Linked DNA regions of Callithrix jacchus. The protein of the gene in region 2 purifies or fractionates together with the protein of the main gene of each other region. This does not show direct contact. Links are inferred from orthologs where the notes say so. Each region holds a gene or a part of one and is shown on either strand. Other genes may lie near its edges.

Region 1 (4,021 bases), on a different chromosome or scaffold from region 2:
TGTGATCTGGATGTCCACGAGCTCCTTGGAGATCTGCGGGTGGCCAGGTGAGAGGTGGCATCTGTGGGGTCTGCCAGCACCCTCCCTCCTCACAGCACCCTGGGCGCCCACACCCACCTGCAGCTGCTGCTCCTCACTCAGCGCTAGACCTGGTGGAACCTCTGCCCCCAGGCTGGTGGCCCAGGCTGCGGTGCCCCCAGGAGCTCCTGGCAGGCAGTCCTTGGCTCGTGGCACAACCTGGAGAGGGCTGTGGTCTCACTCCCATGCGATCACCAGCCCTGCTTCCCGCCTGGCTGAGCTGCAAAAGTCCTTCCCCTAGCTGAGATCAGACCCACAGTACAGGGACCTGCACCCTCCTGGCCTCTGCGGGAAAGGGCAGACTCCAGTCCCGTGGAAGGAGCAGCAGCTTCCCTGAGGACTCACATTCTCCACCTGCCGAAGGGGAGGTCCTGGCCTGGGGCCTGTGGTGGCTGCATGCTCCATAGGTGAGGGGACCCTGGCCTGCTCCGAGCCAGGTACCACCTCCATGCCTGGCCTCCCTATGGCTGCTGCCACCACCACAAGCACTGCTGTGCGCGTTGCCAAGGCTTCTGTTGGTCCCAGGAAACTGCCAGGGCCCTGCCCAAAGGGGCAGGGCGAGACCCAAGGTTGTGGAGGAGGAAGGACAGCTCTTCCTCTCCTTGCCAACGTTTCCCCCTCTGGGGAATGCGGCCCAGCGCTCCCCTGTGCATATGGAACCACGTGCGTGAAAGCACTCAACCCGGGCGCGGCGACAAGCACGCAGAACGGAGCGCGCTACCCGCACGCAGGGTGCCCTGGGCCACACTTATCGGACACCTTCTGTGAACCTTGCAGTGCTGGCTGAGCCCCGGGACGGGCAGGTGAACAAACTGGACAGATCTCTGCACCTCCGGCCTGAGAAGTGGGGGCGCAGACGTCCCCACTGGGAACAGAAAACTCGGAACCGACTGACTCAGCCCGGGCTCCTGAGGGCTTCCTGGAGGAGGTGCCAGCGCCGGGCCCGGAGGGGTCAGAACCTGCGCGCGGCGCCCCACCTGGCACGCAAGCAGCCCTGGCAGGCCTTGTGGTCTCACTACGCGCAGGATCCCGGCCGGGCGGAGGCAAGGCGAGTCCGCGGAGTGGGGCGGTTGGCGCCTCCCAAGCCCAACGCCGCACTCCGTCCGGACCCCGTGACCGGCGGCCAAGGCCCCGCCTCCATCTGTCCGCCCTTCGGGCTGTCAGCGCAGCAGTGCGGGTGAGGCGGGCGGCGGGGAAATGCGTCTGCCGGGGGTCGGGGGCCCGAGGGGCGGGGCCTGGGAGGAAGGCGGGGCCTTCGGGGGCCGGGGCTCGGGCTGGGGGCGGGGTCGGGAGGGGCCGGGTTCCGCTCTCGAAGGAGCCGGGTGCGTGGAATTCCACGCGAGTGCCGGGGAGTTCCTGGGGAGCCTCCAGCCTCCTCCTCTGCCCCCGCAGCGTGTTGACCGACCCGCCTCACACAGCCCTTCCTAAGGTGTGGAGAGCGGGCCCCGCCCTGAAGGGGCACCGTGGCCTGGGGGGCCTGTTTTGGAACAGGCACCGGTGGCCAAGCTCCGTGGCCATGAAGGTCAAGGTCATCCCCGTGCTTGAGGACAACTACATGTACCTGGTCATCGAGGAGCTCACGCGCGAGGCGGTGGCCGTGGACGTGGCCGTGCCCAAGAGGGTGAGGGCAGGCCGCGGGCCGCAGGGACACGGCCGTGCCCCCCGCCCCCGAGAGCCTCCCTGACCCCCTGGCATGAGCGGTCCCCACGTGCTCTGCTCTCCGGGCGTCACTGGCGGCTGGGGTTGCTCCATCATCTCGTGGCTCCCTAAAGTTAGGGCGCCTCTGGCCTCCGCCCTTCCCCTGCTGCCTGGCCGTCCCCGCAGGTGCAGGGGCGCAGTCACTGCCCGCTGGGTCCCCGCTCTCCGGCGCTGCCCAGGGTCCTGGCCGGCCTGGGGCGCTGAGCGCGGCGGACCTGGCGCCCCGATATGGAGAGGGAGGGAATGGCCCACTGGGACCGTCTGTGTCATGACAACTCCCGTCCCTTTCAGTTGTTGGAGATCGTGGGCCGGGAGGGGGTGTCCCTGACCGCCGTGCTGACCACCCACCATCACTGGTGAGCGCCGGCGGGGCGGGGCGGGGCGGGGCGGGGGGAGGCGCGAGGACGCCGCCCAGCCCCACCCGGACCTGACCTGGCCCCGCCCGCCCGTCTGCAGGGACCACGCGCGGGGAAACCCGGAGCTGGCGCGGCTGCGTCCCGGGCTGGCGGTGCTGGGCGCGGACGAGCGCATCTTCTCGCTGACGCGCAGGCTGGCGCACGGCGAGGAGCTGCGGGTGAGCGCGCGCCCCCGGGAGGGCGGGGTGGGTACCCCGGGACCGCCCGCCCTCATGGGTCCGCCTGCTCCTCCGCCGCAGTTTGGGGCCATCCACGTGCGCTGCCTCCTGACGCCCGGCCACACCTCCGGCCACATGAGCTACTTCCTGTGGGAGGATGATTGCCCGGACCCACCCGCCCTGTTCTCGGGTACCCGCAGCGCGGAGCGCGCCCACCCCGCCTCCCGCCGGCCCCGCCCCCTCTGCTCTGACCCGCCCTCCCCCGCCAGGGGACGCGCTGTTGGTGGCCGGCTGCGGCTCGTGCCTGGAGGGCAGCGCCCAGCAGATGTACCAGAGCCTGGCCGAGCTGAGCACCCTGCCCCCCGAGACGGTGAGCGGGCCTGGGCCCTCCCCTCCTTTCCCGTGGGCACAGCCCCCACGCTCCGCACCCGCACTGTGCCGGGGTGCAGAGTGAATGCCCACCAGAGGGCAGAGCGTGCGCGCTCACCGAGGCTCTTCCTCCAGAAGGTGTTCTGCGGCCACGAGCACACGCTCAGCAACCTGGAGTTTGCGCAGAAAGTGGAGCCCTGCAACGACCACGTGAGAGCCAAGCTGTCCTGGGCTAAGGCACGGCCCCTTCCCGCCTCGGCTGGAGGGTGGGGGAGGACGGGCTCTGGGGGGCTCTCAGACAAGCCCCAATGATGACCAGGGCCTGTGGTCACTCCAGAAGAGGGACGAGGACGATGTGCCCACAGTGCCCTCGACTCTGGGCGAGGAGCGCCTCTACAACCCCTTCCTGCGGGTGGCGTGAGTATGGCCGTTGTCTGGGGCCTCGGCAGGCGTGCGGACCCTTAGGAAGGCATCTGGGGGCCTCGTGGAGGGCTGAGCATCCCTGGCTCGGGGGAGGCTGCTCATTAAGTGCCTTCCTGCCCACCCTCCCGCGTCAGCGGTGGGCCCCACGCCTCACTGCACCCCTCCCGCAGAGAGGAGCCGGTGCGCAAGTTCACGGGCAAGGCGGGCCCCGCCGACGTCCTGGAGGTGCTCTGCGAGGAGCGGGCACGCTTCGAACAGGCAGGCGAGCCGAGGCAGCCACAGGCACGGGCCCTCCTTGCGCTGCAGTGGGGGCTCCTGAGTGCAGCCCCCAACAAGTGAGCCCCCCACAGACCCTCACAGGGCTGGGTCTCACATGCCTCTTCATGACCTCAGCCAGCTGGACTCACGCAAGGGCCACCTCTGGAAGCTTCTAAGAGGCTCTGGCCTGCCAGCTGCCCAGCCTCAGAGGGTGGACATGCGTGACCACTCTGCGGGGCCCGTGGGGGCCCGGAGACCTGGGTGTTTGGGAAGTGGGATGCATGGGGCTTCTGAACCACGAATAAAGCCGTTGTCAGTGCTGGCAGACGTGCCAGGAGGAGCTGTTTTCAGAGGCGCATCGAGGAGGGTGCCTTTATTCGACGTAAGCGCTGGGAGACGGGCCTGGTGGGGACCTGGCTGGGGGGTGATGCAGCCACTGGTGCCTGCTGGTGTCCTTAGCTCGCCCCTCGGAGCTTTCCAGGGGGCCCGGCAGGACCAGCTCTGTCTCCCACCTTCTTCGCAGAGCTTCAGGGGAAGCCTCTAGAAGTTGGGGGTAAGAACCCATCTTGTTCCGTCTCAGGCAACCCCAGGACAGGCTGAAGCCTCTCATGCACCTGGGTG
Region 2 (4,213 bases):
AGGAGTCACCCTTGGGAACGTGGGGAGGAGGAGTTGGGGGTGGCTCCTAGTCAAGCTTAGAGGATGGAAGGAACTGAAAGATGGACGTGTGGTGGTCTCAAGGAGGGAAGAGTGATAGGAGCAAGGCCCTGTGTCTGGTAATGATAATATTCGACATATAGTATCTTAATATTGAACATCATCCTAAGTGTTTCACATGGTTTATTTTGTTTAGTTCTCCTTGCAGCCCTGTGAAGTGGGTGCTATTACTGATTTTATGCTGTAGAATCTGTGAAACAGAGAGGTTGAATAATTGGCCCAAGGTCACACAGCTTGTAAGCAGCAGTACTGGATAGATCTGACTCCACAGTCTGTGCTCTTAGCTTTGTCAAGGAGGAAGGCCCAGAGTTTCATCCAGAAAACAGAATGTGAAAAGGGATTGGAATCAGAGCAACCTGGACTGGGTGAAGAGGTTGTGTCGCGAAAGGATGCTGGATGAGAAAGAAAGTCAGAAGAAGGGCCTAGAATGTCAAAAGAGAGGAGTGTCCAGGGCCGCAGGCAACACTGGAAGCCAGGCCAGCTCAGCTGGCCACCCATCCCGGTGCATACCCAATCTCAGTCTGTCCCTTCAGGTCAAATTTACATTCTCCTGCTCTCCCTCCTCCTCAACAAAAACAGGAGATTTACAGACTCTCAACGTCTCTCCCCACAAGCGACTTACTAATCACAAAGGGAAAAATTGTAACTTTGCGGTGGCACAACCTGGCCGACTCCAGCTTAACCAAGTGACCAAAGTGGGTATTCAGAGGGTTCTCAGGGAAGGCTCTGGAGGGGCTTTTGGGGGAAATGTATAAGGGTTTTGTGAGGAGGACTCTGAATGAAGAGGGTGGGAAGTCTTGGGGACTGAGGAGTCTGCGGGAACAGGGAAGGGTCCAGAGGGGGAAGGAGGGGTACGTCTCGGGGGAAGGGAGAAGTATTGAGGTGGGAGAGGTTCTGAGGTTTGAGCGAGGCCCTGGAGAGAGACTTGACAGTTTGGGCGAGAAGAGGGTATGGGAGGTGTGTGGGGGTAAAAGCTGGGCAACTGCAGAGCTGGGGGCAGGGTCTCCACCGACAATCTTGAAAGGGTCGGGACTCGAAGGGGAGGGTTCTAAGGCAACGGCCAGTGGAAGTGGGGGCTCCTGTGGCGTGAGGTAAGGCCAGCCGGAGGGTGAGGCGATTTGGACAGCCCGGCCTGGGGCAGCGGGAGGGCCAAGGTGGGGGAGGGCGCGGGGGAGGGGGCGGGGCGTGCTGGGGTGGGGCCGGGGCGGGGTCGGCACCGCCCGGCGGGTCCCCCCGCGCTGCAGGGGGCGCTGTGAGCCTGGGCGGCCCCAGGCCGGGCGGCGGCCGCTCCCCGTGAGCGCGGCCCCTTTTCCGGGTTTCCTCCGCCTCCTCCTCCTCTCCTCCTTCTTCTCCGCTGCTGCCGCCGCTGCCCCTTTCCCGGCCGGTGGCTGCCGCTGCCGGTGCCGCCGCCGCCGCCTCCTGGGGGCCGCGAGCCGAGCGGAGACCGCCGCGGAGCGCGAGCGCCGCCCGCCCCGCCGCTCCGCCGGCCGCTCCAGGGCCGGGCCGGCTCGGCCGGCGCCCCCCGCGCCCCCAGCCCGCCCGCCCCCGCGGGCCCGGCCTGGCGCGGCCGCCCGCTACCGCGCTCCTCCTCCTCCTTCTCCAGAGCCCGGCGGCCAGCCGCCTCCTCCGCCCGCCGCCCCGCGCCCTCCGCCGCGCCGCCGCCGCCACCCTCTGCGCCCCGCGCCGCCCCCCGGTCCCGCCCGCCATGCCCGGCCCGGCCGCGGGCAGCAGGGCCCGGGTCTACGCCGAGGTGAACAGCCTGAGGAGCCGCGAGTACTGGGACTACGAGTCTCACGTCCCGAGCTGGGGGTAAAGCCGCCGCCGTCCCCCGCCGGGCCCGCTGACCCCTGTCTCCGCCCGGCCGCCCCCCGCGACCCGCACTCGGCCGGGGTGGTGTCTCCCGCCGATCCCTCCGCGGCCCCGCTGGAGACAGAGGTCCCGCTCTCGCACATGTCCTCGTCTTCCTCTTCCCTCCCCTTTACCCCGGTTTCGTCCCTTTCTCCCCGCTTTGCGCACCCCTTTCCCCCAAGGAATGATTTTTTTACTCGGAGAGAAGTGTGGGGTGCACGGATCGGCGCTGGGTGGAAGTGAGGGAGCAGCCCTTCTCACACTTTTGGGTTTCCACTAGGGTGGGAAGTCAACAGCTGTCCTCTGGAGCTATTAAAATTCTCTGCCTTTTCGGTTTTCTGAGATGAGGTAGTGGGAGGAAATTTCTTAAAGACGTCCACATTTTTAAAACAGGGATTGTCTACCTTCAGGGTGTGAAACGGGAAGCAGGTGCTGTGAAGCCGCGGGGCAGAGGGGGCACCCTCTAGGCCTTCAGGACGGGTGCTTTGTTCGCCCCTCTGGATTGGCTCAGAGCGTTGCCTTTCTACCCCATCTTCCCAAGTTAGGAGAGACCAGTTAGGTTAGGAGCTCTGCAGAGTGAAGGGAGCCAAGATTACGTCGTGGCTTTCATTTAGGGAATGAGTTGTGACGTGATGTGTAGACACTTCCAAGTGTTTGCCTGGCGGAAGCGGCTGGATGACGTGTATAGTGGGCATAGGCTTGGCTAACCCCCAGTCCTGGCATTTATGTGTGTCTGTCTCTTACCTTTTACAGTAATCAAGATGATTACCAACTGGTTCGAAAACTTGGTCGGGGAAAATATAGTGAAGTATTTGAGGCCATTAACATCACCAACAATGAGAGAGTGGTTGTAAAAATCCTCAAGGTGAGTGTCCTATGAGTGATAAATAACATTTGTTCCCCCACAGGGCAAAAGGATGTAAGCTACCCCAGTCACATTCTAGAATGGGCAGTGCAAGCTTGAATTTAATTACTTATTTAGAGTCAGAGTCTCACTCTGTAACCCAGGCTGGAGTGCAGATTATGGTTCACTGCAGCCTTCAACTCCTGGGCTCAAGTGATCCTCCCTTCTCAGCCTCCCAAGTAGCTGGGACTACAGGTGCATGCCATCATGCCCAGCTATTTAAAAAAATTTTTTTGTACAGACAGGGTCTGGTCATGTTGCCCAGGCTGGTCTTAAACTCCTGAGCTCAAGCAGTCCTCCAGAACGACTCCTTGCAGGCTTCCCAAAGTTGCTGGGGTTACAAGCATGAGCCACTGTGCCCAGCCCACACTCAAATTTTACTTCTCTGATGACCCTTCATTACTTCTTTTTCCACCCCATTTTCCTGTGAACTTTCAAGGAAATGTGCAGACTGGTCACAAATCTAAGCCCAACTCTTAAGTTCAGGAAGGTGTTCTAAAATGTAAATTATAGGTGCCTAAAGCAGAAATTCCAAAAGGGCTCCATTTGTTAGAAAATAAATAGGTATTCAAAAGACCAAAAAGCCATTCTCAATTTCAGGTCTCCTTGAGCACTGTTTGTTACTCTTGGTGCGTGATCTACCTTATTCCATAAAGAAAGCTGGACAAAACTGGAGTGACTTCAGAGATGTATTGCGAGCCCAAGTTGAAGGAAATTCCTTAGTGGATAATCACTTGTTTTTTCTTCTTTGGCAGTAAAGTTTCAGGTGGCGTGGATATAGTGCACTAGTAGGGCTGAGAAGCCTTGTTAGAAAGCCAGAGAGCCTTTGTTGCTTATCAGCTAGTAAAAATATAGAATTCACTTATGATTTCTAAAGTAATCACTGGAACAAAACTCTTAACATATGGTTTAGCGATCTCAGTTTGATAATGCTGTGCTTTTGTTATCTCTTTGATGAAGATGATTTTAATGAGCATGAAGGGTCGGCTAAATTTTCCTTCAGGTAAAAGATTAATTGTGTAGCTTTAATAATGTTTTATAGGGTGTGGTAAAAAGTAATTGGTAGAATCTTTGATGGGTCCTCATTATTGCCAGATTATTTCATGTGGGCACGTGTCATTCAGTGAGAGATTGAGAAGATGGAAGAGTAATGTAAGCACTTTTGTATACATGTGATTTCCAGTGTGGCCCTTTTGCAGAGGTTCTGTGGACTAAGAATGTGGTATTGAAAAGCTGTTTCTGTGTGTTAGGGCAGCTGTATAGGTAATCCCTGTTTAATGTGAGGGGTCAATGTTAGCTTTCTGGTAATCACCTTTCAGAAAAATGATCAACTCCATCACTCAATACATCCTAGCCTAGTGATGAAGGAGCAGAATTGCAAGA
Region 3 (4,085 bases), on a different chromosome or scaffold from region 2:
TACAGGCACGTGCCACCATGCCCTGCTCATTTTTTGTATTTTTTTTTTCTTTCTTTTTTTTGAGACGGAGTTTTGCTTTTGTTACCCAGGCTGGAGTGCAATGGCGCGATCTCGGCTCACCGCAACCTCCGCCTCCTGGGTTCAGGCAATTCTCCTGCCTCAGCCTCCTGAGTAGCTGGGATTACAGGCACGCGCCACCGTGCCCAGCTAATTTTTTGTATTTTTAGTAGAGACGGGGTTTCACCATGTTGACCAGGATGGTCTCAATCTGTTGACCTCGTGATCCACCCGCCTCGGCCTCCCAAAGTGCAGGGATTACAGGCTTGAGCCACCGCGCTCGGCTCATTTTTTGTATTTTTAGTAGAGACGGGGTTTCCAGGATGGTCTCGATCTGTTGAACTCGTCGTGATCCACCCGCCTCGGCCTCCCAAAGTGCTGGGATTACAGGCTTGAGCCACCGCGCCCGGCCTGATACTTTCATTTTAAAAAGGCAAATGAGTCAAAGAACAATTGAGTTCAGTGACGTTTGTGAAATCCTGGAGGCTCAAATCCTTAGGTAGATGGGGAGCAGTCGGAAACCAGTGGGCTAGTGAGCCAGGGTGAACCCCAGTCAGGGTATTGAACCTTGAACCCGAAGAACATAGGTTTCATCAAATCACAGAGTGGTGATATCGAAGAAAAACACTTTACAATTTTATCTATGCTGAGGGTTTCCCTAAATCCTCTCACACTGAGTATCTATGGCCCCTATCTATTTAGAATTTTGTTGTATGGTAATACAAACAAACGATTATGTTTCCAGCCCATTAAGGGGAGAATTGGGTGTTACTTAATGAATTAGGGAAATCGTTAATTGGAAACTCCCGCTGAGGAACAACTGATAGCAAGTTCTGCCAGCCCTTTACGCGATCCTTCTCTTTCTGACTTACCTGTTCCTAAAGTAGTACTCATTTCCTACAGTCAACGACCTAGCTTGCAGCCAGGCTAAAGTGGCCATGGTCTCTTGGCGTTGGCTTACAACTGCTGTGCCTACCGGTGTCCATGGTAACTGGGCTAAACCATAGCTCACTCCCGGGGGGGTTCCATTGTTTGCTCACTGCTCTTTTCTCTGACGCTATTTCGACTTTAAGAGTACTAAAAAGACAACTAAGAAATTTCTTTGCAGCACAAAAAGTTTAATTTATTTGTCTCTGTCTCTACTGCGAGTATGAGGAGGGGATTATAGGAAGGGAAAGCAGTAGGCGAGGAGAACTAATGGTTGCTCCAGGCATCCGGTTTCGGCCTCAGTCGGCTTCCGGAAGTTCATCTCAAAATGCTGAACTGTATTTTGCAAGTCGCCGGTGCTGTAGTAGTTGGAGTCTGTTCACGGGCCTGAGCCTGTGGCCAGGCTCTTGGGTGTCGTTAATGTTCGGGGCCGCCGGGCGCCAACCGATCGGAGCTCCAGCAGCCGGGAACAGCTGGTGAGTCTGGCGGCCCTGGGGAGGGGGAGGTCAGGGAAGGGTGTGATGGCCTGAGGCCGCTCCGCTGGACCTGGAATGGAAGCGGGAGGGAGCTGTGATGGATGGTCTGAAGACATCTAGGCCTTGCTCTCACTCATTCCTGAGATGCACGCAGTTTGAGGGAGCTTTTGAGAGTATGCCAAAAAATTGTGAAAGAGTACAGTAAATGTTTGCTGATTGCTTAGCAATATTTTGGAAGTCATGCTTCCTGTAATCCCAGGAGCGGTTTTATCTCCTCATTGATTGTTGACAAAACTAGGCACAGGAAGAATTTATCTTAATCTGGGCCTTATTCCCCACTCCTCTTTCAAAATTCACCAATTTATACTAAGTCTCTTGGAAGATAAGTTCAATAATGGAAAACACATCACTCACCCCCTTTTTTGGAGGGGGGAACCTACTTCCACCCTCTTGAACATTCTAAGTTCAAATGAGATGTGTATGGGGGTGTTCCAGGAACTAATTTTACAACCGTTAGGATTAAGTTTGGGGCTTGACTATGTCTATGGTATCATGTCACCAGTGCCACGTTAGAATAATATATTGCTTTGACTTTAAAAGATATTTTCACAAATTAATACACTTTGTCTTATGACAGCCCTGTGATACCAGAATATCAAAAGCACAGAATATCCAAGTGTCTTGTCCACAGTTGCCCTGTACATTTTAATCCTAGAGCTAGGATCTGGGTTTTGGGATTTCTAGTTGAATACTGTAATATCTGTCCTATTTTTCTCCCAAGCCCTTTTCTTCCAAACGTAACACAAGACAACCAGTGAAACAATCAATTTCCTACTGAAAACCTTAAACATAAAGTTTTGACCAACAGGTGAAAGAAATGTGGCTAAACAGTGCATGTTCATTCCTAGATTCTGCAAAAATTAGAACATGAGGAAGTCTAATAGTCTGTGATCTTCAAGAATTATTTTACATCACCTATCATTGCAAAGGTATCCAAAATCTTTTTAGTTAGGGCAGGTCATCCTGTAGTTAAGTTTATAATGAATATAGATTTGATTTTACTCTTTTTAAATTATCACATTTTCTAGTGAGAAAAGTAGGGAGCACTTTTTAAATGAACCAATTTTTAATGGTGTAACTAGCATAGAATGAACTGCATAATTCTTAAGTGCTTGATTTTATTAGTTTTGGCAATTGTATATACTTATATAACCACCACGCAAAACGAGATAATGGACTTGCCCATCATCCCACAGTTCCCTCTCAAGGATACCTTTCTTAATGTTTCACCATTCATTATCTTTGTAAATCAGGGAGATAAAGTGTCATCTGTAGATTGGTCTGCTCTTCCTAGGGCACTCTTGATTTGTAGGATAGGTGACTGCATCAGAAGAGGACTGATTCTCTCAACTTCTTCTGCCTTCCAAATCGTGATTATGTACTGAGAGAAACCTCCTTCAATTCTCTTTTAAAGGCTCTCTTGTCATACAACCATTTCCTATGGCACCAGAGTATAACAAAGTGGTAGCAGTTAGTATTTTTGAATGAAATTCTTAAAGTCATTCCTGTTTTGGCACAATGAACATGTTCCAAAAAACTGGAACTTTATTTTTTAGTCTGCCTGTATGACTATACAGTCATTCCAGATTCCTTAATGGAATTTTCTTTTTCATTAATTGGACAGATATTTACTATACAACATATATGTGTAATCCCAGTAATAAATTCCAGTCCCACTGGGAATACAGCTACTAAGCAGTTAACTAGGTGCCAGGTTTTACATGCATGTGTCGTCTCATGTAAATCCTTTGAGGTAGGTGTATCATTCTTTGTGTTTTAGATAAGGTGATGCAAAAGCAAAGATGGTTTAAGTAACTGGCCTAAGTGTATTGTATTTGCAGGATGATTCCAATATACCCCCCCCCCAAATTCTTAAATAACTTGTAGATTGCCTATGTCTCTGAATGAGATACAATATGTAAACTAGCAGTTATATGTCCAGATTTATTAACCAGTCTGGAATTTCTAACTTATTTAGCTCCCATCTTGACTTTCTCTTTTCTTTTTCATTTCTTTTCTTTTTTTTCTGAGAGAGAGTCTCACTCTGTTACCAGGCTGGAGTGCAGGGGTGCTGTCTAGGATCACTGCAGCATACACCTCCTGGGTTCAAGGGATTCTCCTGCCTCAGCCTCCTGAATAGCTGGGACTACAGGCACATGCCACGACACCCCGCTAATTTTTGTATTTTTAGTAGAGACAGGTTTTCACCATGTTGGCCAGGATGATCTCGATCTCTTTGACCTCATGATCTGCCTGCCTTGGCCTCCCAAAGTGCTGGGATTACAGGCGTGCACCCCCATGCCCAGCTCATCTTGACTTTTTCAACTTCTCTCCAATTTGGAGGTTGCTGTTTCAATTTTTAGGCACCAGGTGGATAAACGTAGGTAATTTCTTTACTCAACTATGGTATTCTGTTTTTTTTAACTTTGTTATGTGGCTTTGCTTTTAAAAAAAGCTGTTAAGATAAACTATATTGACTCTGGAGTTTTGTTTCTGTATTTTCATTCCTATTTGGTATTTTGATTTTATTGAAATCTGAAAAACTGAAAAATCTGAAATCTGAAA
Region 4 (4,274 bases), on a different chromosome or scaffold from region 2:
TAAAAAAAAAATCTTGCTGCACTCTTTAGAACTAATCCTATGACCTTGAACCAATTAAACACCGAACTTCAGTCTGCAAATGGGTATAACAGCAGGTTATCTTACGACTGTTGTGAGGGTCAAAAGATTTGTTTGGTACACAGTCTTATGTCACCAGCAGTGTTTCCACCTTCGCTTTTTGAGAGCCTTCGAAGGGCCCCACACCCCAGGTCCTTAAACTTCCCTGAGGGCCTACCAAGCCCCGCCCCTCTCGCCTCCGAGGATGACGTCATCGACTGAGTTGTTGAGTGACGTCACCCCGGGCGGCTGGGCTTCATCGCCTCTTCTCCGGAAACCTCCGACTCTTGGCACCTGGCCTCCGGCTTTCGGTTATTTTTATTTTTTCTCCACAGCCTGAATTCCTTCCCTCCCATTCTCCCACCTAAAACTATCGGCTCTTCCCGCCTTCCTTCAGCTAGCAATTTTCGGTTCTTCTCTCTTGCTCTCGGGCGACTTTCTGAAAGTGGTTTATTCTCTTAATAGACCCTCCAGCCCCGCCAGTTCAGCTAATTCGCTTAATCGCATTATCCTGACTGCTTCCACCTCCTGCCACCCACCAGGACACTGTCTTCGGCTCTTTCCGGACCATCAGAGTTTCTCCTCCTTCCCCGGTCCCGAACGGCTTAGGCTATTTCTGGCTGCCCTAGGTTTCTCTTGCTCCCTCTAGCCCCACCCCTATCAGCACCTTCGGCTCTTTCCGACTCTCCCCCGCCGTCTCCTGTCTCTCGCTCAGCTCCTTTCGGCTATTTCCGCCTCCCGTCGGCCTCGCCCTTTACCTTCGGCTCTTTCCGCCGGCCTTCGGGCAAGCGGTCTCTTCCCCTCTCCTGCACGTGACACGGCCTCCGCCTCCCGCCTCCCAGTTCCCCCTCCCACCTCACCCTTCCTCCCGCCTCAGCCTCTTGGCTGGTCCGGGCCGAGTCGCCATTTTGTGTCAATTCCTGATTGCGGCGGGGGCCGGGCAGCCGGGGCACCCGGGGCAGCAGACAGGGAGACAGTCGGCCCGTCTCCTCTCTACCTCAAATCCTTTTTTTTTTTTTTTTAACCCCCCACCCCTCGCTCGCTCGCTCTCCTCTTCTCCCCCTACCCTTCGCTTGCTCCATCGCGCGCGGCCCGCGCTAATTACATCCAACCACCCACCAGTGTCCGTGTCTCCCGGATCTCCCGTCCCCGGGCCCGCGGGGGTGCGTGCGGGGAGCTCTCGCCCCGATGAGGGCCCCGCGCCAGTGAGCGAGTGACCGCAAGGGTGGGCTGCGGAGAAAGCAGGCGGCGAGCGGTCCGCCGAGGCCTAGGCCGAGCGGCCTACGCGGAGGTCGGCGCAGAGGTGATTCCGAAACCGAAAAAATATATACCCCATTCCCATCAGGAGCCCTCCGAGCAGAAGTGTGCCCCTCCCGCCACGCCCAAGCAGTCCTTTTTCGTGCATTAACATCCCCTCCCCCCCAAAGGAACTATGGAGGCCGCGCCCGGGACCCCCCCGCCGCCGCCATCAGAGTCGCCGCCGCCGCCATCGCCGCCGCCGCCATCAACGCCTTCGCCTCCTCCGTGTTCCCCCGACGCCCGCCCGGCCACCCCGCACCTCCTCCACCACCGCCTCCCGCTCCCTGACGACAGGTCAGGCCCCCGGCCGGGCCGGGGCTGGCGTCCCCGGGGGGAGGAAAAGGAGGAGGAGGAAGGGGGGCGACCGCCATGTTGGGCCGGGCCGCGGAGGAGGAGGAGGAGGAGGAGGAAGGGCGGGGTCGGTGGGTGTCTCTCGATCGCTAGCTCGCTCGCTCTTTCTCGCTTGCTTTCTCTCCCGGCCTCATGCGTTTCCCCCCCCTCGCGGCGCTCGCCCGCTCTCCCTCGCTCTCGCTCTGTCTTTTTTGGGCGCCATGCTGAGGGGAAGGTGAGGAGGCGCCCCTCGGACCCCCCGCGCCCGCCCGCCCGCCCTGGGGAGGGGGCGCCAGGGGGGGTGCTGCGGAGGCCCACGGGGGTCCTGGCTGCCCCTGCGCCCGGAGCTGGCAGCCACGGGCCCGCCTGCCCGTCGCCTGACTTCGGGGAAGGGGATGGGGGAGGGGCTCCGGACCCTTTTTAGGGGGATCTCCAGCAACAGCCCCGCTCTTAGGGGTTTGGGGTTGGGGGTCTCCCAGCCCCCGGCAGTATCCTTTCTCCTGGGGGGGCACACCCTGCCCTACTTGGATGATAGGTACCCTAGCTTTTTTAGGAGGCAGAAAGTGGGGGTTCAGGTCCTTTCTTCATCCTTCTAATGGAGGGTCCTTTGGGTGGGTATGGCACTTAATTTTTGGCGGGAGGTGTTTTCTAGCTATTCCCTAGAATGCAGAATTGGGGAGGGGGAGAGATGCCTCTCCAGCCCTTCTGATGAAAACCCCTGCTTATTTTTTGAGAGAAGACTCTTCCCCATGTTTTTGCTAAAGGGCAGGGGTCCTCTCGATTTTCGTAGGTAGGTGACGTGAGAGGGCTCTTAGCCTTTTTTGTGGAGGGGGGAAGGTTTGGTTTCCCTGCCTTGTAGGGGAGAGGAAGTTGGTCCCGCGCTTTCTCCTGTGGTTCCCCCCTCTTTCGGGGTAAAATGGGGCACCATCTCTTCCGGAAGAGAAAAGGCGATTTCCTTGTGCTTTGGCAGGGGGTGAAAGGAAGCGCCCCCTTCCCTAAGTGCGAAACGAGGCCCCCCTCCCGCCCTTCTCTGGCTGGCGGGTGATAATGGGGACAGCTCGGCGCGTTTCAGGGCGAGGTTGGGGCCCTGTTTCCTTCCCCTGCTCGAGCAGAAGGAGTTGGGGTGCAGGGTTCGCCCACTGTTTCCTGGTGGGGCAGAAGAGGCGGCTGGAGAGTAGGTTTGGACACGGACGGTGGGTTTCGGTCGGCAGGCAAGACAGTCTTGGAAGGAGTGGGGGTGGAGAGGGGAAGAGAACGTGCTGGACAGATGGCTACCCCGTCGCAGCCCTGCCTGGGGAGCCCCTCAGGAACCTCCCTTAGTCGGGGGTTTCAGCCAGGGCTCCCCCTGCCAGACTCCACTGCCCCTTCTCCCCACTCCTCCCTCCCCTTTCCCCTTTCTCCTTCACAGACCATACTTTGCCTTTTAAAAGAAATGCCACCCACATTCAGAGACACAAGTGCAGCAGTTTGGTGAGCTTTTACAACATTTTTTTTTTCTGTTTTGTTCTAATTAAATGTATCGTCCTGGGAATCGCAGCCCATCGCAGCCCGACTCCAGTTCAAGGAAATAAACAGATTAGCAAAGGTCTGTTCGCTAAGCCCACGTCGGGCTTCCGGCCCCCTCTCCGGGGGCAGGTGCATTACTCAAAGGTGCTTACACGCTTTATTCGACCTCTAAGGAGTTCTCTTATGTCAGAAGTGTATGTCTTACAATGGGTTGGGATGGTAAGTAGCCTCTTTTATTGAGTAATTCAATGATCTCCCTCTTTTTCTCCCTTTCCTGCCTGCCTTCTTCCTCGCCTTTAGACCAAAGTGATGCTTGAGAGTGAATTGATGTGTTGGAATCAGGATTCTAACCCTGTTGAGCCCTTTTATACTTGCACATCCTTTCAGTGTTTAATTTTTTAAATTTGATGTACACAGTTTTCTCAAAAAAAAAAAAAAAGTGTGCTACTGTAACATGACAAAAACCGATGTAAAAGGCCTGTGTTTTCAGGCTCTGGCGTCCCTCTTTCCATTTCAATCCATTGCTTTGTCTCCAGCCTTCATCTTTGAAGAAAGTGGATACTTCAAGTCCATTTATAGGAGACAAGCTTACTGAATTTGATTTATGATACATGTATTCAAGTTAATGGTTCTCCCTCCCCCCCCAAAAAGATTGGTTCAAGTAGCTCCAATTTTCTCGTTTTACTCCAATGTCTCTTGTGGTGATGGACCTTAAAATTGAGCAAGTCATTTGTAAAGTACTGTTGAAGCACAAAATCTGTGAACTCTGTCAAGCCCCCATCTCTGCCTGTCTCCACTGCTCCTTTGTTCGAAAGCACATGTCTGTGAAAAGTTGATGCAAACGTGTTACACGCCCAGTCATGTTGGAGGGAACACCTCCTCCAGCCCCCAGTCCCCCGTCCTACACGTTAACAAGGAAAAAAAACCAACAGAAATGACTTGCAGAACCAAACACCGTACTTCCGATGTGTTTTACAAGCATCAGTTCCGTTAAAAGACAAAACACGTTGAAGTTGCATTTTCCCTCTTTCCCACTTTTGATCCCTGGCATACTTTGAGAGAGAACCCTGGTCCTCTCCAAC

Evidence for each region.
Region 1: the proteins of CSNK2A2 (region 2) and HAGHL purify together in Homo sapiens (affinity purification with mass spectrometry; 4 studies listed by BioGRID and IntAct, counting the BioPlex papers as one, with this or other methods). This does not show direct contact. The link is inferred for Callithrix jacchus from reciprocal best matches to the Homo sapiens genes CSNK2A2 and HAGHL.
Region 3: the proteins of CSNK2A2 (region 2) and GPATCH2 purify together in Homo sapiens (affinity purification with mass spectrometry; 6 studies listed by BioGRID and IntAct, counting the BioPlex papers as one, with this or other methods). This does not show direct contact. The link is inferred for Callithrix jacchus from reciprocal best matches to the Homo sapiens genes CSNK2A2 and GPATCH2.
Region 4: the proteins of CSNK2A2 (region 2) and ZC3H4 purify together in Homo sapiens (affinity purification with mass spectrometry; 3 studies listed by BioGRID and IntAct, with this or other methods). This does not show direct contact. The link is inferred for Callithrix jacchus from reciprocal best matches to the Homo sapiens genes CSNK2A2 and ZC3H4.

The regions. Positions count from the first base shown.
Region 1 is NC_133513.1:2,984,215-2,988,235, forward strand, and holds HAGHL (hydroxyacylglutathione hydrolase-like protein), read left to right. Parts: upstream 1-1,221; 5' UTR 1,222-1,255; intron 1,256-1,470; 5' UTR 1,471-1,594; coding exon 1,595-1,699; intron 1,700-2,067; coding exon 2,068-2,132; intron 2,133-2,232; coding exon 2,233-2,540; coding exon of another isoform or gene 2,541-2,619; coding exon 2,620-2,720; intron 2,721-2,854; coding exon 2,855-2,956; coding exon of another isoform or gene 2,957-3,031; exon of another isoform or gene 3,032-3,038; coding exon of another isoform or gene 3,039-3,056; coding exon 3,057-3,136; exon of another isoform or gene 3,137-3,170; intron 3,171-3,312; coding exon 3,313-3,481; 3' UTR 3,482-3,725; downstream 3,726-4,021. Other genes in the region: CCDC78 (coiled-coil domain-containing protein 78), read right to left, coding at 1-33, 118-237, 424-528. UniProt on the Homo sapiens protein: Hydrolase acting on ester bonds.
Region 2 is NC_133521.1:16,079,386-16,083,598, reverse strand, and holds the start of CSNK2A2 (casein kinase II subunit alpha'), read left to right. Parts: upstream 1-1,413; 5' UTR 1,414-1,783; coding exon 1,784-1,887; intron 1,888-2,330; exon of another isoform or gene 2,331-2,504; intron 2,505-2,679; coding exon 2,680-2,791; intron 2,792-4,213.
Region 3 is NC_133520.1:11,521,156-11,525,240, forward strand, and holds the start of GPATCH2 (G patch domain-containing protein 2), read left to right. Parts: upstream 1-1,285; 5' UTR 1,286-1,404; coding exon 1,405-1,460; intron 1,461-2,368; exon of another isoform or gene 2,369-2,449; intron 2,450-3,711; exon of another isoform or gene 3,712-3,890; intron 3,891-4,085. Other genes in the region: spermatogenesis-associated protein 17-like, read right to left, coding at 930-997. UniProt on the Homo sapiens protein: Enhances the ATPase activity of DHX15 in vitro.
Region 4 is NC_133523.1:41,071,301-41,075,574, reverse strand, and holds the start of ZC3H4 (zinc finger CCCH domain-containing protein 4), read left to right. Parts: upstream 1-1,474; 5' UTR 1,475-1,489; coding exon 1,490-1,921; intron 1,922-2,132; exon of another isoform or gene 2,133-2,303; coding exon of another isoform or gene 2,304-2,476; intron 2,477-3,094; coding exon 3,095-3,156; intron 3,157-3,223; exon of another isoform or gene 3,224-3,388; coding exon of another isoform or gene 3,389-3,411; intron 3,412-3,885; exon of another isoform or gene 3,886-4,014; intron 4,015-4,274. UniProt on the Homo sapiens protein: RNA-binding protein that suppresses transcription of long non-coding RNAs (lncRNAs). LncRNAs are defined as transcripts more than 200 nucleotides that are not translated into protein.